Linked DNA regions of Schizosaccharomyces pombe. The gene in region 1 interacts genetically with each later gene. Each region holds a gene or a part of one and is shown on either strand. Other genes may lie near its edges.

Region 1 (5,752 bases):
CATCTATCAATAAGTAAGCAAAAACTACCTAAATAACATTCAAAATATGTTTTAATAGCCTTCGAGCTCAACATTTGAATAGGAAAACGAGATATCGTTTCTCTTCAACACCAAGTCTTTTATTTTGAATTCCGGTATGTAAATATCAAGATTTTTATTGTTCCTCCTCTTTTAGGCTAATGAGTTACAATATTTACTAAATGTTAATTGAAACATCCGATTTTACCCGGAAGTAATAGATAGACTGTGTGCATAAGATCAAATGCAGTACTTTGATTAAATACTAGACTTCCAATAATTTTGCAATACCTTGTTAATTCTTCATCTTGAATAAAACATACCCTTAATGTTTTTCTGCTGCTGGTTCCTTACTCTTTTCTGTTTAACGAGAATTTTCCTTTTGATATGGCAAAGGTTTTGCATGTGAAAATGACATTATTCTTTAAAAAATTCCATAAAAAAAAGAATTGTAAACTGTTGGAATTTTAAGATCCAGAAGTTTTTTCTTTGAAGCACACAAAGGTTTAAAAAACTTACATTCATCGATTCAACGCCATTATTTAAATTCCGTGCAAATATTTTACTCAATTATCCTATTTTAGACTCTATTTTAATAATCATATATACTTCAGCTTGCTTATTAGAAGGCCAAACACTTTGGCTATTTGTTTACCAAGGAAATGAAGGAATTGCAGATCCTTAATATTGAAAAAAGCAAAGCATTACTGTTGTTATTTTCTAATTGTTGGACCCGACATATGTTTTTGTTGTTACCATAAAAATGCTCTTGTATTGCTTATACAGGTCCTTCTTTATTTAATTTCTGAATATCTCGTTTTTGTTTCTGACAATTTAAACTAAAGACACAAAAATTAGTAATTAAAGAATGTTTATTTTTTATTAAACATCAATAACTCACAGTCTTTACTGTTTTAGTCATACATTGAATTGTGCCTTCTGAAGAGATCCTTATACTCTCATTGGTCATTGGCCATTGGGATATTCTCTATCCATATGGTACCTTAGTAGAAGTTTTGTAACTCATCTTCAACAATCGTCTCTTCTTCTTACGATTTAGCTGTTTTTTATAATTTTCTCATGTTTTTTTGTTCTTAAAAATTTCTTTCTAATGTTTCGTACTTTGAAAGCTTCACAGAAAAGGTCACTCGTGAACTTGATGTTCGGAACGACTGCTCTTTTCGCAACTGCCACCGTAATTTTCCCTTCATTACTGCCTTGTCCAGCTATGAAGAACCCATATTTGGATACCCAATCTGATCCTGGATATGAAGAATTACCTGAAAACTCTCGTGTTATTGTCATCGATCAACAATCTCCTAAAAGCTCTCTAGTTGCTTCCAAACAAAACAATCCTCCTTCAAAATCTTAATATAGGTCATCATAAAGCTTGAGAAATATTTTTATTATTGCATATATCAATCTCTCCCTTCTCTTCCTTCTTCATTCAATAGTTTCTAGGATTCCTTGCTTCCCTTTTGCGCTAGGTATTTCCCTAACCTACGTTTAGGGACTCCATAATATAATTTAAATACATTTTTTTTACTTCGAAACATCTTATAGTGATTACTTTCGTGTCACTATTAATATTTTTAGTACACTGACTTAAGTTATCTTAACATTTTAGCCCGCACATCTCGGCTGCGCATTAGGTTCTGGTATCTTGCTGTGGTAGTAGTATTTGTACTAGTAAACCCACTTAACGTCCTTACTATATACAGAAAGGTACTGCCGGTTGCTTCAATTCTTAATTATTTTTCTATTATTGCCTTTAGAGTACTCTAGTCAACTCTCAGCATCGCCAGGTTGTTAAAAAAAAGTTAGTTTACCTTTCACTTGGTGCTTTATATGCTTGATACAATTCTTATAAATGGTAAGTTTCCGTTATTCTTTACTTTCAGGTGCACATATAGTAAATCGAATACTATAACAGGCTATACGGATGAATGACACAAGCTACTCATTTATAGCATCAGCCATTTTGAAAACGTGCATTTTTTAACTGAACAAAAAATTGAGTTTGGAGTTTTACCATACGAAATGCTTGCCTTTTTTTTCTTCCATTATTTGTCAGTCTTTTTTTCTGCTTAATCGTTTTGGGATAGGATCTCGATCGCTCTTTACTAGCATTCAGTTCGTCAATACATTTTGGCATTGAATTAGCGGTTATGCGTTACGTTACTTTGAATAACTTCGAATGATGTTTTTCTCTTTATATAACATTTGCATTTGCAGCCAGCAATGTAAAATCTTTCGCCTTTCTTTTTTCTTTAATTTGGCGTCTTTTAATTAAGCAATGCCAGATTCTAAGCATTGGGTTATTCTCCGTATAGCTTATTGTTTAGTTACCAAAATTATTTTTCAACTTTTATTCTGACAATGTTTTAGTTTTTCGTCGAGATGGCGATGACGACGACGATGATGGTCAAGACCCTGCTTTGCAAGAATTATACTCAAGCTGGGCTCTTTTCATATTACTAGTCCTTTTGATTGGTGCCTTGCTTACTAGTTACTATGTTCAATCCAAAAAGATCCGGGCCATTCATGAAACTGTAATTTCGGTATTTGTTGGTATGGTTGTTGGGCTTATCATTCGCGTTTCTCCGGGATTGATTATCCAGAACATGGTTTCTTTTCATTCCACATATTTCTTCAATGTTTTGCTTCCCCCGATTATTCTCAATTCCGGTTATGAATTGCATCAGGTATATAGTTTTGAGTGAAATGCTATACTAAAGTCTCCATTTCTTTCCTTTATCTTTTTGTTATACTTTTCTAACCAATATAGTCAAATTTCTTTCGTAACATTGGTACAATTCTAACATTTGCCTTTGCTGGTACCTTTATATCTGCAGTCACCCTGGGAGTCCTAGTCTACATTTTCTCCTTTCTTAATTTTGAAAACCTTTCTATGACTTTTGTTGAAGCCTTGTCTATGGGTGCAACTTTGTCCGCTACAGATCCAGTTACTGTGCTTGCTATTTTCAACTCGTATAAGGTGGATCAAAAGTTGTATACTATTATTTTTGGAGAGAGTATCCTTAATGATGCTGTTGCAATCGTAATGTTTGAGACGCTGCAGCAATTTCAAGGAAAAACTTTACATTTTTTTACCTTATTCAGCGGTATTGGAATTTTTATTATCACATTCTTTATTAGTTTACTTATTGGAGTTTCTATTGGGCTCATAACTGCGCTTTTGCTAAAGTATTCTTATTTACGCCGTTATCCTTCTATAGAGTCTTGTATTATTCTCCTCATGGCATACACCTCCTACTTTTTTTCAAACGGCTGCCACATGTCAGGCGTAGTTTCCTTATTGTTTTGTGGAATAACGCTAAAGCACTATGCCTTTTTCAACATGTCATATAAAGCAAAGCTTAGCACGAAGTATGTTTTTCGGGTTCTTGCGCAACTCTCGGAAAACTTTATCTTCATTTATCTTGGCATGTCTCTGTTTACCCAGGTTGACTTGGTTTACAAACCAATTTTTATTCTGATTACCACAGTAAGTCAATTTACACTTATTTTCTTTACTAACTTGCCTAAGGTTGCCGTTACCGCATCTAGATACATGAACGTGTTTCCATTGAGCAATTTGCTCAACAAATTCCACCGTCAGAGAAATGGTAACCTCATTGATCATATACCTTACAGTTACCAAATGATGCTTTTTTGGGCGGGCCTACGAGGTGCAGTTGGAGTAGCGTTGGCAGCAGGCTTTGAAGGAGAAAATGCTCAAACGCTGCGAGCGACTACATTGGTTGTTGTCGTCTTGACCCTAATTATATTTGGCGGTACTACTGCCAGAATGCTCGAAATTTTGCATATTGAAACTGGTGTAGCGGCTGATGTTGACAGTGACACAGAAATCGGCATGCTACCTTGGCAACAGTCACCAGAGTTTGATTTGGAAAATAGCGCAATGGAGCTATCAGACGCTTCTGCTGAACCAGTTGTTGTCGACCAACAATTTACGACGGAACATTTTGATGAAGGCAACATTGCACCTACACTTTCTAAGAAGGTTTCAAGCACATTTGAGCAATACCAACGAGCAGCTGGTGCTTTCAACCAATTTTTCCATTCTTCACGAGATGATCAAGCTCAATGGTTAACGCGCTTTGATGAAGAGGTCATAAAACCAGTGCTTCTGGAGAGAGATAACCTTAAAAATGGAACAAAAAAATAATTGTTCCGATTCATAGAATTAATAGTCTACTTATGTTTACACAGTATATGTTCGTGTCAGTTTAATGAATATGCTTTTGGTCTTACGACCTCGTTTCTCCTTTTATCATTTATGAATTTTTAAGAAGGATTTTTTAATGAACTGATCTATTAAAATTCCCGTTGACTTATAGTTGACGTCTATGGTGTGGCATTCGCACATTACACGTACCCAAGTCGATGATTTTCCAACAACTACCAATTTCTTCCTTACTAACATTTTAAGCATGTCCGTAGTCTTTAGGACCGTAGAAGATCCTGAATTAAAGAGTATATGCACCACATTTACCTCTAGCATATCTGCTGAGTTTGATTCAAACACACTCGTATGTGATTTAGTTGAAACAGACCTTTTTACCGAAGAAGGCACATCTCAGATATTTACCTTTAAGAAGAATGTCCTCATTTTGCCAGCAAATGTTCCTGAAGGAATTGAATTACGGATTCTTGAAGAAAATGTTAGTCTTCCATTGAAGGAGTTTGAACCCATTAAAGTGCCAGCAGGTGCACATTGTTTCTTATCATGGGAAAAGGTTCCACTTCGTAAACGTATTAAAATCATATCATCTAGTCAACCAGATGATAATGACGAAGAATCTACATGGCCCGGTGTCTTTATCAAGTTTGGTGTTGAAAATTCTAGCTCTGCCGAATTTGGTGAACCTCTCAAGTCCCAAATTGAAATTCCTGATGATCAAAAGCTCATCGTGCAATAGTTTTGTGGTAATTCCAAGGATGAAATCACTTTGCTAAAAGAACCTGTTAATGATGATGAGTTTCCAGCAAAGGTTCGACGAATATTTTGGTGTTCCTGATAATGAACAAATTTAATACGCATCCACTATTCATTATTAAAATTTCAAGCTCTAACCTTAATTATTGGATGTGTGATCCTTTGATTTCACACATTGTTTATTTAATCATTATTCGGTTAGACTTCCTTTCGTTAAATTAGCATTACAAGTTTATTGACATACATTTCATTTTACAATTTAGCTTTTGAAGATTTAGCTTTGTGAAGTAAACTTTCGCAACATACTTGATGTTTGCTTGAGCAACTTGCTATTGTTTTTGCTTTGTTCGCCGTCTATACGTTTAAGCGATCTATTGTTAAAGGTGCTATTGTTTCAAGTCTTTCTCTGACGAATTTTTGCTGTATGTATTAATTTTTCGATTGCTCAGGTACGTTCACATCTATTAAGGACTGGTTTTTCTCAATTAGTCCTTTTGGATATTATTTAAAAATTTATCCACCGAATACGTTTCCTGAGTTAGTGTAATTAGGCCTCAAAATGGTAATTCAAATTCCTTTTGAAGCCAATTTCCATGCGATGTATGCAATTGTATAAATCGAGAAGGAGCTTAAATAAATTTTAGATATACACTAAATTTTCGTTTTTTAAAAAAGTAGATAATGTATGTTTCAAAAATGACATTGAGAGTAATATTATTTTCGTATGCTGATTTTGATGAATTCAAATACGTGTATCAAACATGCAATTAC
Region 2 (7,794 bases), on another chromosome or scaffold:
TTTACACATACACTTCATTTGAGCAAGCTAAGATTCCAAACATTTTTTAAAATTTCTTTATGAAAGTAGTAAAATGAAGAAATTGTAACTATTTTTTATTAATATAACAAATAATACCGATGCAAACTGGTTTAAATGGTCAATGCCCCAATTTCGTTCATGACTATTGTATGCTTTCACTGAAAAATTGTTTTTTTTTTATTGTTTTGGAATTTGGTAATACTGTGTGGCATTATAGACGGTGCACAGAGCCAGAGCAATACTAGAAAAGGCAGTTATAGGAAGAGCCATCTATCAATTAGAAATAATTGCTTACAACTTACACAAAAAACCTGGCTATGTTTATTAACACCTTTTTCACGTTTTAGCTTAATTACCGATACACATTCATCAGCTGCTACAAACCATAAATTGGGAAATATCTTACATATTTGGTAACCGAAAGAATCAAGTAACTAGAATTTAATTACGTTGATTCAGTTTAAAATTTAGTATAACAAGCACCACTGGTTTCCTCATAATGTTAGTTTTAAGATCTTGGGCATTAGCTTAGCACAATAGAATGGAGGGTTGACGCGGCCGTTACACATGACTTCACTTATTTGTCCACCACATACATACTTCCGGCAGCTCACTCTTCGTTGTAGGAAATATCGTAACTTTTAAATATTTATACAAATAAAAGCATTTTGTTTTGAAAAAAGAAGTTTTCTAATATATCATTTGAAAATAATAAACGAATTTCCCAAGTTTAATTAAGGCACCACTTTCAATTTTTTAACATTTACTCCGAATTAGAGTTGAATATAGTACCTTGTTTCATGTACAGGGTCTGCAAAATTGTGCAGAGAAATTGATTGTTTAAAAGTCCCAAAATTTAATCAAGTGAGAAGTTTAGATGAGTGAATCTGCACCCGCTGGTTCGAAGGAGGGAGTTTCATTCGGTAATCTCCCTCGTCCTGAGCCACGAACTTCTAAAGACCAGCAGAAGTTATCCATTTCTACCGATGTTAAAAAACCATCTCATTCTGCTCCTGTTACGCCGGTTCGGAGTGCCAGGAGCTCAATGGAACAGCCAACGTTTCGTCCTGTTGCAAAAAATTCCGTAACAGTGGCACCTGCTCGGGCGGCTGGATTCTGTCCTCCACAATTTGAGGAATATCATCATGGACGTTCCCATAGTCTTGTTTCACCACCTCCGAGTCCACATTTTCTAAAAAGGATTTCGTTCGATACGTTTAATAATAAAGCGGCTACAGATTTTTCCCTGACTCTGAAAACACAACATCAAGCTTACAAGTGGACAAGAACGTCTCGCACTTTTTTGTGTGGCATGGATGGCAATTCGTATTCTGAAGTTGCAGTCGATTGGTTATTCGAAACACTTTTAGCCGACAACGATGAAGCAGTAGTATTAAGAGTAATTGATCCTTCTTCCAAGCTAGCGGAGGATTTATCGGATGAACAATCTTACAGATCTTTAGCTGAACATATCATGGCAGGCATACTCAAGAAAGTTGATGATGATAAAGCTGTTTCTATAATAGTTGAACTCGTGGTTGGTAAACCTCAAGATATGATCCTTCGTACTATACACGTTTATTCACCTGATAGTCTTATTGTCGGTACTCGTGGCAAAGCCTTAAATAGCTTTCAGTCTCTTCTTTCTAGCGGAAGCGTTTCCAAATTTTGTTTACAAAAAAGCCCCATTCCCGTAATTGTTGTTCGACCTGATCGAAAACGAGTTCGTTCAAAAAACAAGCGCCTTAAGGACAAAACGAGAAAGTCCTATATGGAAATTTTAGAGAAAAGCGGTCGCTAATACGAATAGTTCTCTAACTTGCCAATTTATGATTAATACTTGCTTTATGACATGTAATATTTAATGCGTTTGATAAATTATTCGCAAAACGGTTGAACATTGATTTCTTTATTGTCTATTTTAAAAAAGAGCAAAAAAAATAAAGCTTTAATTTTTTTTGTTCGCTAAGCTAAAGCGTGCGGAATTTTAATGTTTAGAGTATATCTATCGTGTATTTGAGATTTCTTAATGTCAATTAATTTGTTTGTCTCTGGATTTAACTATGATAATTTGGAACATGCGTACGTTATGCTGCGTAATTTAGTTGAAATGAAAATTGTTTGTTTACATCCATTTATCATTTTAAGAATTTACGCTTTATTACCAACTCACATATTTTTCATTTATTCCCTATAGAAAAAAAATTTACCTTTACCAATGCGGGTGCCTAATGAAGTTTGTTTTAATATATTATCATATTTGGAAGCCGATGAGCTAAGGTGCAAATCGACAGTTTGTACTTCATGGAGGAATTTTATTATACCCACTTTATGGGAAAAAGTAGTATTTCAAAACGAAGCTCAATTAAATAACTTTTTTGATACTTTACAATACTCCAAGGATGTTTCGTACTATTTCAGGTATTTGCGCAAGCTGAATTGCTCTCGTGTTAGGAAATTTCTTACCGATAAACATTTAATGTTAATGACATTAGCAACAGGGATTTCTCGTCTGAATTTGTCTGGATGTACTCGCATTTCCGAGCCTCTTATTGGTAAACTGTTGTATCAGAATTTGAACTTGGTTACTATAAACTTCAGTAATATTTTCTCTTTACCGGCGAATATACTTGAATATATTTCTGATAATTGCCCTAATTTAAAAGCTTTGAATATTGGGAATTGTGGGTTAGTAGAAGATACCGGTATGGTTCAGATAATAAAACGTTGTCCGTACTTAAATCGGCTCATTATACCGAATTGTCGAAAGCTGACTGACGTCTCATTACAAATACTTTCTGAAAAAGAAGACCTGATTGAATTAGATATTAGTGGATGTGAAGGCTTTCATAATGCGGATACGCTGTCTAGGTTGGTCTCCAGAAATCGAGGTTTGAAAGAATTATCTATGGATGGTTGCACAGAATTGTCACATTTCATCACTTTTTTAAACTTAAACTGTGAATTAGATGCAATGAGGGCATTAAGTCTTAACAATTTACCAGATTTGAAAGACAGTGACATAGAATTGATAACTTGTAAGTTCTCAAAATTAAACTCTCTATTTCTTTCCAAATGCATTGGATTGACTGATTCGTCACTTTTAAGCTTAACAAAGCTTTCTCAATCTTTAACGACTCTTCATTTGGGACATTGCTATGAGATAACCGATATTGGTGTTCAATGTCTTCTAAAGTCATGTAAAAATATAACTTACATTGACTTCGGTGGTTGCCTTCGTTTGAGTGATATAGCAGTAAGTGCTATTGCTAAGTTGCCATATCTTCAAAGAGTAGGTTTGGTCAAATGCATTTGCCTTACTGACCTTTCTGTAATCTTACTAAGTGGGTCTTTTTCCAGAAACCTTGAACGAGTACATCTTTCTTATTGCATTGGACTAACCGCAAAGGTATGTAAAATATGCTATCTTTTCTAACCAAATTAGTCGGTTAGTTATTTGATGTATAACTGTAAAACGTTAAAGCATCTTAGCGTTACTGGAATTAACTCTATATTATGCACAGAATTGCGATCTTTTTCCCGTCCAATTCCAGATGGAATAAACCCGTCCCAAGTCCCGGTATTGTAAGTCTGTGGTTTTGACCTCTTAATAGTCACTAACTAATATACAGCTGTGCGTTCACTAAGGTCGAGATTGATTTGTTTCGAGAATTTATTCGTAATAGAATATAGAAATCAAACTTTTCACAGTTTCATTTAAGGCTTCAATTGACATGATGGCGTGCTTGTCCTTAACTATTCAATAATAAAACATTTTATAAAAAACGTTATTTACTCCGCAAGGTTTTTTTTTTTTTTTTTTTTTTTTTTTTTTTTTTTTTTTGATTGAACTAATCAGCAGATGGTAGCTATATATTTACAAGTACAAAAAAGTAGATTTATTACATATTATCAAAAAAACCTCTCACTCTTACAAAAGATAAGTTAAACATAGTTTCTTAAAAGAAAACCTATTTTATTGTACACCTTTCATATTGCATTACCATTCACATTAGTTAATAATTAATTTTTTTTATGGGGGTTCCATACTAACTCCTGTTCAAGAAGCATCCTTGGGTAAAGTAGATATGAAACCATCCAAATTAAATTCATCATATTGGGATTCATCCCACATTTCTGGAAGCCCTTCAAGAGCCTTTTTAGAAGTACCACTTAGACCGCGACCTGCCGCATCTTCCGATTCTTCTTTGTCAATATTTTGTACAGTTTGTTGTTCATCAGCAGTAGTGTTAAAAAGGTCTAAAATCTGATCGGTTCCAATTGAAGAAAGACCAGCATTTTGCTGATTAACAACCGTTGATGCCACGTTCATTTTAAACCTCTGAAGGCCCATTATTTTTTCCTCAAGACATCCTCGAGTGATTAAACGATACACATTCACCACCTTTTTTTGTCCAATACGATGAGCTCTGTCCATTGCCTGCAAATCTCGCATGGGATTCCAGTCATGCTCAACAAAAATAACGGTATCAGCACCAGTAAGATTAAGACCAAGACCACCAACATGAGTCGTTAACAGAAGAACATCTATTGAAGGATCATTATTGAATTTGGTAACAGCCTCTTGACGCTTGGTTGGCTCAACTGACCCATCAAGGCGCATGTAAGTAACATCGGGCATAGTAGCTTGCAACAGATCTTTCTCAACCATATCTAACATGTCTTTGAGCTGGCAGAAAATCAACACACGATGTTCACTAACTGCATTCGTTAATGCACTATCAATACCATTCGAGTTTACTGAAGAATTACCCAAGCCACAATCTCGAAGCAATTGACCAAGTGCAGTCAATTTTGGAGCATGCTTTAAGTCATGTAAACCACTATTTTCTTTAGCTAATTGCTTAACAATGGCATTTCGTTTTGGATGCTTCTCTGTCAAAATCAAAGCAGGATGATTGCAAAGTTTACGCATGTATTGCAAAGCCTGGAAAATATGAGCTTTCTGGGATTTCTTCTTTCTTGTACCTTGAGTTTTTTCCGTTTCATCATCTTCGAGCTCTTCATTGATGTTCAACTGAGATACAAAATCATTAAGAAGCTTTCTTTGCAGATCGCTCATATCACAATAATAATCTTGTATTATCTTTGGGGGCAAATCTGCTAAAACATCTTCTTTTAATCGCCTAAGCATAAACGGAAGCACTTGCTTATGGATAGCCTCGAGTGCCAAAGTGCCTCTTTCCCGCTCTTTCGATGAGCTTTTTGCATCACGACTAGCAGCGATAGGACGAACAAATCGTTCTTGAAATGTCTTTTCAGTTCCCAAAAACCCAGGCATTAGAAAATCAAAAAGAGACCAAAGCTCTAGCACATTGTTTTGAATAGGTGTTCCTGACAGAATTAGTCGATGATAGGACCTTAAACTTTTAACCGCTTTTGTGAGCTTAGCTCGTGCATTTTTTATAACATGACCCTCGTCAAGAACACAGTAGTTCCAGTCAATTTTTACTAATTCATCCACATCATTCCGACATATGTCATAAGACGTGACAACAACATCGGACTTCTTCATTTTTGATCTTATTTTTGCTCTTTCCGCTGGAGGTCCTACATATGCAGACACTTTCAAAAATGGTGCATAAGTACTAAGTTCTTGCTGCCAATGGCCGGCTAATGTAGATGGACACACTATCAACGAAGGAACGTGAGCAAACTTGGGACTTCCTGATTCTTCAAATAATTTTTGGCGGTTATAATGATCACTTGCGACTATACAAATAGTTTGCAAAGTCTTACCCAACCCCATATCATCACATAAAATCCCATGAAGTTCATACTTATTTAAGAAAGCCAGCCAATTAACACCTTCCTGTTGATATTTCCTTAAATCAGCAGAGATGGGGACAGGAATTGAGAATGCTTCGACCTTAGAAGGATTCAGCATTTGTTCTAAAAATTTGCGCTCCTTTTCACGACTATCAAGTAGATATTGAGGCAAGTCTGGCGGATCAGGAAGTCCAGCTTCAAGTGGTACTAATTTAACAAGTGTTGCAAAGGAAGTCGTAGCTAGCACACGTACATCCTGGTCAGCATCACTCATTCGACCTAACAAGGGAATAATTAAGTAAAGTATGTAGGGAAGGATACGGACTCCTAGACGTTGAACAACATGATATATGCACTCAATAGCTCCTTGTCTGTGGATTGTGCTACTAGCATCTCCTAAAAGTGGAACAACATCCTCAACAAGAAGATGAAGAGCCTTTGATCCCGCAGCATTTGATTCAGTAATAGCAGCAAAGCATTTTGATGCCATATTGCGTACGGCGGAATAATTCGATTGTAAAGTTGCTAGTAAATGAGGCAAAGTACTGACAATTTCAGATTGAAGACCGGAATCTAAGTACGCAACTAAAAATCGCAATATAGACATTGCATCCAGTAAGTCTTGCCCAACTGTACAGCTGGCCTGGTCAACTTCACTAGGAAATCCAGATTCAGCGTATTGCTGTAAAGGAACAAATAGACACTGGGACAACACGGGTACCCTAGAAAATAGGGAGCTGCCAAAATTTTGAGCCATTTGTTGAAGCGTTAGCTGCGCACCCATTCTTTGTAAGACAGCAGCATCCTTATCCGAAACTGAAGACAGCGAAGACTTTCTGTCGTTACTTACATCATCGGAATCATCAACTAACTTCCCTGAGACCTGTTCATCGTTGTCATCGCTTGTGCCTATACTATGTAAAGACAATATTCCATTTTTCCCTGAGTCATGAAATATTGGAGTTTCAGTAGTATCCATACATACATAAGCACATAAATTTCTAACGATTTTCTCAGAAATAACTTGCCGAGATTCTTTATAGCATGCTGAAATTAACTTCATCATAGCTGATGCTGAATGCATTTGAAGACAAGAAAATTGTTCCTTTTTTATGGACTCCATAATACCCTTAATTATTGAATTTAACTTTTTCGGAAGCTTATCATATGTAACCATCGCGGAAGCAATTGAAGCACTACACTGAATATCCTGTCTTTCTTTTGCAATTTTGTAAATAGAGATCTCGTCAATTATTAAATATTTTATCTCGTTTAGGGCTTTTGACGATTGCGCTTTTTGAGAGGGGGACAACAACTTGCATAAATTTTCATATGTAGGACCAACGAGTTTTTCAGCATCCGCTATACCAAAGGCAATTGGGCCAGCTTCGGGATCCCCTTTGACAACAACAGCTAATGAAGGAATTTTTGAACGAGAAAGACGCCCTACATCCAAAAAGGTGTTGAGCAATGCATTACACTGGGCACGTACAACATGTAATTGTGAAACTAAGTTTGCGTAATTTTCTCTAGGAACAGTAGCAAATTGGTCACAAAGCAAGTGATACAATTCATCTTTTTGGATAGTAAGGTCATTATCTTCAACTTCAAAAAAAGATTCAATGAGTCTAGAACCTAATACGACAGGGGTTGAAAAAGACGATGTTAAACAAGCTTGTAAGAATGGCTTGAAAAACAAAAGAATTTCATCTCTTTTCCAACGTCCTATAATCCTACCAAGTAAAGAGGAGGCTCTAAGCCTTGCCTTTAACATTCGCTCTTCACCTACGAATTCAACGTCTCCGTTAAGCATAGGTTCGTCAACCGAAAAACAAAAAGACCCTTTTGGATCATCTTTTGCCCTATGCTTGGTGCGGCTATTACTTAACTCGGAAATATTATTATTGCGTTCGCGAGACGTAGAAGGAGCATACGGTTGACCAGAAGGTTTGACAATCAAGGTAGTATCCAAAGGATATGGCC
Region 3 (8,550 bases), on another chromosome or scaffold:
AGTAATCCTAATTAATAAATTATTGAGAAATGCTTAAATAAGATATTTAAAGACAAAATTGTGTATAGCTCTCATATTTTAAAAAAGTTGGTATTCATTTTTGTGGTTACATAATTTTAAAGCGTGAAGTAAAAAATGTTTCTCAGATGGCAAGTAATACTTTAAGCACACTTAGCCAAAACACCAACCATTTTGACGAGAACCACAATTTAGTGATTGTCGGAATTGAACTTTGATTAGCATTCTTACTTATTTTTTTATTTTTAGCAAGAAAAAAAGTTAAGCTCGTCAAGATGGTAAATTTGAATATAAAAGCAATGAGATATCTTTCTGCCGAGGATTTTCGCACTCTGACAGCTGTAAGCACTTTATTTTATCTTTGGGCAGTCATATAGCTTAAATCGTTTTGATCGTACAATGTTTTGTATTTTCTTACTTATTGACACATACGATATGATGCATTCAATTAATTATATTTTGATTTCAATAAGTATTCGAACTAACAAGTTATAGGTAGAAATGGGAAGCCGTAATCATGAAGTTGTTCCAACGAATATGATTAATCAAATTGCTAAAATACGCGGTGGCTCTTGTACGAAATCATTGTCCGTTTTGTTTATGCATAAATTAATTGCAAAGGTGCCGCATATCAGCTATGAGGGCTATCGACTAACATATGCGGGATATGATTACTTGGCATTGAAGGCCTTGTCAAAGAGAGCATCCGTTTACTCTGTCGGTAATCAAATAGGCGTCGGTAAAGAATCTGATGTCTACGTCGTAGGAGACCAAAAAGGAAAGCAATATATCTTAAAAATCCACAGGCTTGGGCGTATATCTTTCCGGAGTGTAAAAAACAATAGAGATTATTTGAGAAATCGTAAAACTGGATCATGGCAGTATCTGTCTCGATTAGCTGCCACAAAAGAATTTGCTTTTATGAAGATCTTGCATGAGCATGGTTTCCCTGTACCTGCTCCAATTGATCATTCCAGGCATTGTATTATCATGGAAATGATTGATGCGTTTCCTCTTCGTGCTGTTACTGACATTCGTGATCCACCTGCTCTATATCAGACATTAATGGATATTATCGTTCGATTTGCAAGGAATGGGTTAATACATGGTGATTTCAACGAATTTAACATCATTGTTCGTGAAGATGGAACAGCTGTTGTAATTGATTTTCCGCAAATGGTATCTACTAGTCATCCTGATGCGCAATTTTATTTTGATAGAGACGTACAGTGCATTGTGCAATATTTTGAAAAAAACTATCAATACAAAGGTGATGTTCCTAATTTCGAAGACATATCGAAAATGGAAAAGGAAAATAATTTGGATATCATGATTGAGGCTTCAGGATTTAATAAGAAACAATCTAAAGAACTAGAAAAATATAGACAAGAAGAAGAAAAAAGAAAAGAAAATGGTGATGATTTATCTGATAACTATGAAGAAGAAGAAGAAGAGAAGGAATGATGGTTTTAATGAAACCATATTGCACAATTGCATGTTCAGTAAAATCATTTATTCATTTTATTAGGTATTTCTGGTGTTAGGGACTAGCATAGGGTTAATATATTCAGCTTTTTTGGTTACTGTTTTAAATTTTCATTTCAATTTGGATGTAGATAAAAGCATTTTAATTAATCTATCAAAAGATACAAGCAAACATTAATTTTCGAATATAAAATGCTCGTTAATTAATGATTACAGGACGTTTTCTGAGCGATACGTTGGTACACGTAGTAAGTTCCACTTTATATACTAAGGCAAAACGCCAAGACCAATGAAATCGGAACCAACATCTTTGGATTTTACATCCTCAAACCTAAGGAGAATGAATCGGGATCATTCTTCAAATAATACGAATAGAACAGTTTTAAACCTGCCAAAAGGTAAATTCTCACACATTCAATTTTAGTTTTCGAGATTTTGTTAACTTTTTCTAGAAATTTTGATCATTATATTTTCGTTTCTTGATCCTCGCTCTTTACTTTCTGCTCAATGCACTTGCAAATATTGGAAAAAGTTATTATCCGATGATTTAAGTTGGCGTACTGCTTTTTTTCATCACTTTGCGGGTGATCAGTCGCAAATATTTAGTCCACTAGGTAATGGAACATGGCGGCAAGAATATCTTTTACGTTCTACCATTACTAGAGCTTATGAAAAAGGGAAAGGGCAAACAGTTCAGTATGATTGTCGCGTTGGACAATTGACCAACCTTTATTACGACTTTTCTTCAGGAAGGCTTTATTCAGGAAATTGGCTTACTGGAACAATCTCCGTTTCCGACCCTACCACTGGAAAGGTTGAGAGGTCTTTATTACATGCTAGTACTGATGGCAGCTTTACGCATGGATTATCTACAATGACATTGGGGAAACAAATTTTTGGCTTTGGTTTTATGGATGGTCGCGTTGGAGTTATTTTGATGTCACGTCAAGCCGAGACTCCTCGAAAATTTCGTTATTGTCTGGATTCCCATGCTGATTCAGTTACATGCATTGATGCATTAACCGGTGATTTGCCCCCCACTGGGGAAATCGGTATGGTTACTGGATCAGATGATGGATCCGTGCATTGCTGGGATGTTAAAACAGGTGTTAGTCTTCAATCATTTCAATTCCGTTCTTCACAAATCCTTTCTTTGTGTTTCAGGCCGAAATACAAAATGCTACTCGTTGACACTTTTAATTATGAACTTAACTCATATCAATTATACTTAATACCGGGCTATGCTCGCTCCCGAAAGAATGAGCAGCCTATACTTTTATCGTCCAGAAAATGTGTGTTAACTGATGAAGAGGAACCTCCTTGTCTGATGACGGCAGATTGCTGTGCCGGTGTTGCCTTCTTGTCCAGGGGCGCACCGAAAAATTGTATTTGTCGAGTTTCATTTAAAGAATTTTTGGAGAAAAACGATAATGTCGGCGTTCAAACATCTTCAATTCCTCTCAACGGAAAACCAACCTCAATCTCCTTAGATACGAACGATCGTGTGTTGTCAAAATCAACTCCTGGTAGAGGAGCAAGACTGCTCGCTGTTGGTGATGAAAATGGTTTGGTTTATGTTGTAAACACTCGCACTGAAGATCCTAACAAGGCCATTCTTAGAACTATTACTGCATACTCAAATTTTCCTATTACCGATATTTACTTGAATGAAGTTGCAATGGTAGTAGGGTCGGCTAGCGGCTATTGCGGAGTATACGATACCGTTACTGGGAATTTTTTGAAAAAAATAGCGAGTGCCAGGAATGCTGCTAGAAGAGAACCAATTAATTGCATACTGCTTGACTCAAATCCGTTAAGTTTGAAAGGTGTGATCACCATGAGCAAGCATGTCAAATCTTGGTCTTATACAATTCCCAAACCTTTTGTTAATAAAAGGTCCAAGGTTTTACCCTTGAGACCTTCGGTGACACACGATAATCTGTCGAAGTCGTCTGACTACTCAAAAAATGAAGTCGAAAGAGAAATCATGTTAGGTTTGGACCAAATTGCTCAGGAAAGACGAGAAAAAATGGAAGCCCGGCAAAAATTTGAACAGCATTTTGGTGAGGGCTTGGTTGGTTTAAGTGAAGAAGAAATCATAGCATATGTTACCATGCTTTCACAAGAAGAGGAAGCTAAGAGAATGGTTCAGCTCTCCATGGATGTTGATAAAATAGAAGAAGATTTTAAAGAAAACGATGAACAAGCTACATCGTCATTAAATGCTTTAAGTTCAAATCATGAGCCACCGCAAGAACAAGCGAATGTTGCTGAACTGAACGAACAAGAGCAGATTGAACTAGCCATGCGATTATCACTCATGGAAATGTGATACACCTAGTAGTTTACTAAGAGGGAAAAAGTAGAAAAATATACGTTAGTTAAATTTTTGCATCTGCATATAGTCATGTCCTTCATCTATTTATTACATGCTTCATCAATCTTCCGAAGTAAAAAAAGGAGGAGGATTCAAGGGATTTTGGTGGGAATTTTTATAATTCAAAATAGAGGTTACTTTAATTTTGTTAATAAAATCTTTTAGGAATACGTATTTTCTTATATCCTACTATGCTTATTTAAGGATAATATTATTGCTTAATAAAAGCATAAAAAAATATTCTTAAGGCATACGCACCGTTGATCAGTGAATGTATAAAAAGTATCGCTTGATTGCGTTATCTGATTTTCAAAATTTCAATTATCGCAAACATCTCGTTAAATGTAAAAAAGTGTTCAGCAAAACAATGAGCGAACGTTCCTTACCTCCTCCAACACAGTGACAAGAACAACAATGGCGGGATCAGTGGATAAACCTTCTTATGAGCTTTTTTCCAAGGACACCAGAGCCTTTGTGTATGGCATGCAGACAAAGGCTGTTCAAGGAATGCTTGACTTTGATTATATGTGTGGTAGAACTGTTCCATCTGTAGCTGCTATCATATATACGTTCGGTATGTGCTTCGTTGATATAAAAATTTGAATACTAACGCGTGCTTAGGAAGTCAAAGTATCAGCAAGCTTTATTGGGGTACTAAAGAAATTCTGTTGCCTGTTTATCGTACAATTGAAGAAGTAAGTTGTCCGCATAAATATGCTTATTAGTTTGCAAATAAGCGTTTTAGCAAAAGATGTTCATGCTGATTTTCGATATTACATCAGTGATTCGTTTTCTACAACAAATCGCAGACGGAAATGATTAAATCACAGTAAGACTATTTTCTTTAAGTTTGAATTCAATTTCGATTATTTTGCAGAAAATAGAAATGCTGCGACTAGCATTATCACTAATAAAAAAAATTTTCTAATCTTAAAAGATTTATTAACTGAAATAATTAGGCATGTACCAAACATCCTGAGGTTGACGTCGTTGTTAATTTTGCTTCGAGCCGTAGTGCTTATGCCTCAACTATGGAGTTGATGGAGTTTCCTCAAATTCGCTGTATTGCAATTATTGCGGAAGGTGTCCCTGAGCGCCGTGCTCGTGAGATATTGGTAACCTCTAAGGAGAAGAATGTGGTTATTATTGGGCCTGCTACCGTTGGTGGTATTAAACCAGGATGTTTCAAAATCGGAAATACTGGTGGTATGATGGACAACATTGTAGCTTCCAAGCTTTATCGTCCTGGATCTGTTGCATACGTTTCCAAGTCAGGCGGTATGTCTAATGAGTTAAACAATATCATTTCGCATACCACTGATGGCGTCTATGAGGGTATTGCTATTGGAGGTGACCGTTATCCAGGTACTACTTTTATTGATCATCTTATCCGCTTCGAAGCTGATCCCGCTTGCAAGCTGATGGTACTTCTAGGCGAAGTAGGTGGAGTGGAAGAATACCGTGTCATTGAAGCTGTTAAGAACGGTACAATTAAAAAGCCTATTGTTGCTTGGGCTATTGGTACATGCTCTAGTATGTTTAAAACCGAGGTTCAATTTGGACATGCTGGTTCATTTGCCAACTCTGAGTTGGAGACTGCTGTCGCCAAGAATCAGGCTATGAGAGAAGCTGGTATATATGTTCCTGAAACATTTGAAAAGCTTCCTGCGTTGCTACAAGAGGTTTATGAGGGTCTTGTGAAAAAGGGTGTTATTGTTCCTCAACCTGAGGTCGCACCACCTAACATTCCTTTAGATTATGCTTGGGCTAAGGAATTAGGCTTGGTTCGTAAGCCCTCTTCCTTCATTTGCACTATCTCCAACGACCGTGGTTCTGAGTTGACTTATAACAACGTTCCCATCTCTAAGGTTTTTGAAGAAGAACTTGGAATTGGTGGTGTCATTTCTCTTTTATGGTTGCGTCGCCGCTTACCTTCATATGCTACAAAGTTCTTGGAAATGGTCCTTCAATTGACGGCTGATCACGGACCATGTGTGTCTGGCGCTATGAATACCATTATTACTACCAGAGCAGGAAAAGATTTGATTTCTTCACTTGTTGCCGGTTTGCTTACTATCGGTACCCGATTCGGTGGTGCGCTTGATGGAGCTGCTCAAGAGTTTTCTAAAGCTTATGACGCAGGGTTATCTCCACGTGCTTTTGTTGACTCTTGCCGTAAGGCCAACAAATTGATTCCTGGTATTGGACATAGAATTAAGAGTAGAAATAATCCTGATCTTCGTGTTGAATTGGTCAAGGGTTACGTTAAAAAGAATTTCCCTTCAACTAAGCTCTTAGATTACGCTTTGGCCGTAGAGAATGTCACTACTTCCAAGAAGGATAACCTTATCTTGAACGTTGATGGCTGTATTGCTGTATGCTTTGTCGATTTACTTCGTAACTGTGGTGCTTTCACTCTTGAAGAAGCTAATGAATATATCAATTTGGGTATCTTGAATGGTATGTTCGTGTTGGGACGTAGTATTGGTCTTATTGGTCATCATCTCGATCAGAAACGTCTTAGGGCACCTCTTTATCGTCACCCTTGGGACGATTTCTTGTATTTGTCTTAGATTATGAACTTAAGTTTGTTCTGTTTTGGAATAGGTTTTGCTTTTCGGATTATCGTGAACAGTCTTCTAGTGGTCGTTTGGATTGACTTCTCCGCCGTACGAAAATATTTTACCAGAGATTTAAGGGGACTTAAAATTTGTTTATTATTAGTCCATAAATATTAATACGTAGTCATCTAAATTGCAACTTGCAGATAAGAATAAGATTTTGTACTATATATTTCTGATTACTTTTTCCGGCGTAACAAGGGCATCCAGTTTTTGGTCTCTGGTATCCATTGGGATTTCTCGATTTGGAAGTATTTGTTCTTTAAGGCAAATTCCCACTGGTCACGTTAGTTGTTTATATGAATTACACAGCGAGATTGGAAACGAACCTTTGAACATGTTAGCTCGTGATTCCTTTTGTAACGCCCAGCTTTGATACTTGGAAATGTAATTGTCATAGTACCCCTTTCCATGCCCTAGTCTAGATAATTTTTCATCAAAAGCGACTCCCGGAACTATTATAAGTTCACAGTCTGTTTCATCATCCATAACTAAATATGATTAATAGATTGAACAATTCTACCAGAATTTTAACCAACTCTTTCTTGATTCTCCATTGGGCTCAGCAATACCCCATTTGTTAATCGTCAAGGACTCAGTTTTCTCGAAAACTTGATACATTTCCATTACATGCGAACCAATACATTTAGGTATGAAAACATTTTTGCCTATTTTTGCATGATTAGTAATGTATTGAAAGATTTAATACTAACCTTCTTTGAAAGCCACGTCTATAAGGCATCTAGTTCGTACTTCTTTTTTTGGCATGTTCATGTACAGACAGACATTTTTGCATCTTTTCCATTCGGGTAATTCGACCACTTGTTTGCAAATGGAAATTGCTTTATGCATTTAATTGTTAAGCTTGATATTTTAAGTATACTTACATTGAGAATCAATAATATGATCCGCAAGTTTGCCTAAACTGCTATTTAAAATAGCACGTAGTTGATTCTTTTTTAAACTCATTACTTTGACTAATACGACTTAATATTTATAGTTAGTAAAAGCTTTGTTAGTGAGGTTCACAATATTATCAATATTAATCTGACTCGTGTTATAAATCGGTTATCAATTTTATAGAATATAATATATATACTAGGTAATCAAAATTCATGTTAATATTAAATGAATTAATAGCTTGAGTTAATTGTATATCTAAGAAATATCCAAATGTTCAGTAAGAAGTTAAGTATTAAAAAAATTTTCCAATACAATTTATGATGACAATTGTTTAAAATTAAAATATAGGTTCAACGATGGCGTAAAACCATTTTATGCACTTAAACTTGCTGATATTGTTAAAAATATTGATTGATTTACCTATTTTACATTGCGCGCAAGTTTTCAGATATGTATTCCTTAGTTGACTGAATACTTACTGACAGTTCTTTTGTTAATTCATACCTCCTCTACCACGACTCTCTTAAATCTTCAAAAACATTTGTTTCTGTGTTTTATAAGATATTTGGAGAAGCTTCTTATTTTATTTTTGTAATTCATCATACTTGTCAGAGCCTGAAATGCGTTTTTTTTGTAGGCATGCAGGATAATCAGGTTCTTGCGAATACGGCGAGTATGATCATGCCAAAATCTTCGTTTATTACTACTAAGCAGCTATGGGAAATAGTGTTACAAGGAAAAGTTGAAGCAACGGAATTTATCCCTGCAGATGTTTCTGATAGTACACAAACTGTTGACCGTTCTAACAAAATATCTCCTATCACGTCTCAGTTAACTATAGAACCAAACAAATCTCAAACCATTGTTAAGAAGAATCCAGATAATTTAATTTTCGTTGCAGTTAACCAAAACGTTCAACTACAATTATCAATATTAAAGCAACAACAGAACAGAGTTGCTGCTATGGAATCAGCATTACAGCGAATTCATCTAGAAATTACTGCGATGTCAGAACAATTGATTTTGCAAAAGTATCAAAAAAATCGGTTCTTTTTCATGTCATCTATTAACGCTCTTATTCGAATATCTCGAAACTGTATAAAGGTAAGTGTGCAATATATTCTTTTGGAAGTTCTTATCTTAACA

What was found.
Region 2: mutations in SPOM_SPAC15A10.06 (region 1) and pof2 together harm fitness more than expected from each alone (negative genetic interaction), as found in Schizosaccharomyces pombe (one large-scale study listed by BioGRID).
Region 3: mutations in SPOM_SPAC15A10.06 (region 1) and pof10 together harm fitness more than expected from each alone (negative genetic interaction), as found in Schizosaccharomyces pombe (one large-scale study listed by BioGRID).

The regions. Positions count from the first base shown.
Region 1 is NC_003424.3:3,686,916-3,692,667, forward strand, and holds SPOM_SPAC15A10.06 (CPA1 sodium ion/proton antiporter), read left to right. Parts: upstream 1-1,731; 5' UTR 1,732-1,866; coding exon 1,867-1,891; intron 1,892-2,406; coding exon 2,407-2,723; intron 2,724-2,806; coding exon 2,807-3,526; exon of another isoform or gene 3,527-3,568; coding exon 3,569-4,210; downstream 4,211-5,752. Other genes in the region: cytochrome C oxidase assembly factor Coa2, read left to right, coding at 1,130-1,390; SPOM_SPAC15A10.07 (uncharacterized protein), read left to right, coding at 4,476-4,964.
Region 2 is NC_003423.3:2,615,623-2,623,416, forward strand, and holds pof2 (F-box protein Pof2), read left to right. Parts: upstream 1-2,239; coding exon 2,240-3,430; exon of another isoform or gene 3,431-3,466; coding exon 3,467-3,606; exon of another isoform or gene 3,607-3,653; coding exon 3,654-3,714; 3' UTR 3,715-3,854; downstream 3,855-7,794. Other genes in the region: SPOM_SPBC25B2.10 (Usp (universal stress protein) family protein), read left to right, coding at 899-1,822; TATA-binding protein-associated factor Mot1, read right to left, coding at 4,082-7,794. UniProt on the Schizosaccharomyces pombe protein: Involved in substrate recognition in ubiquitin-dependent degradation.
Region 3 is NC_003423.3:2,923,720-2,932,269, forward strand, and holds pof10 (F-box/WD repeat protein Pof10), read left to right. Parts: upstream 1-1,794; 5' UTR 1,795-1,843; coding exon 1,844-1,901; exon of another isoform or gene 1,902-1,955; coding exon 1,956-3,835; 3' UTR 3,836-4,071; downstream 4,072-8,550. Other genes in the region: rio2 (RIO family protein kinase), read left to right, coding at 294-359, 514-1,482; acl1 (ATP citrate synthase subunit 1), read left to right, coding at 4,295-4,454, 4,502-4,575, 4,840-6,453; fau1 (5-formyltetrahydrofolate cyclo-ligase), read right to left, coding at 6,667-6,779, 6,831-6,992, 7,041-7,169, 7,215-7,343, 7,389-7,470; SPOM_SPBC1703.09 (uncharacterized protein), read left to right, coding at 8,044-8,508. UniProt on the Schizosaccharomyces pombe protein: Probably recognizes and binds to some phosphorylated proteins and promotes their ubiquitination and degradation.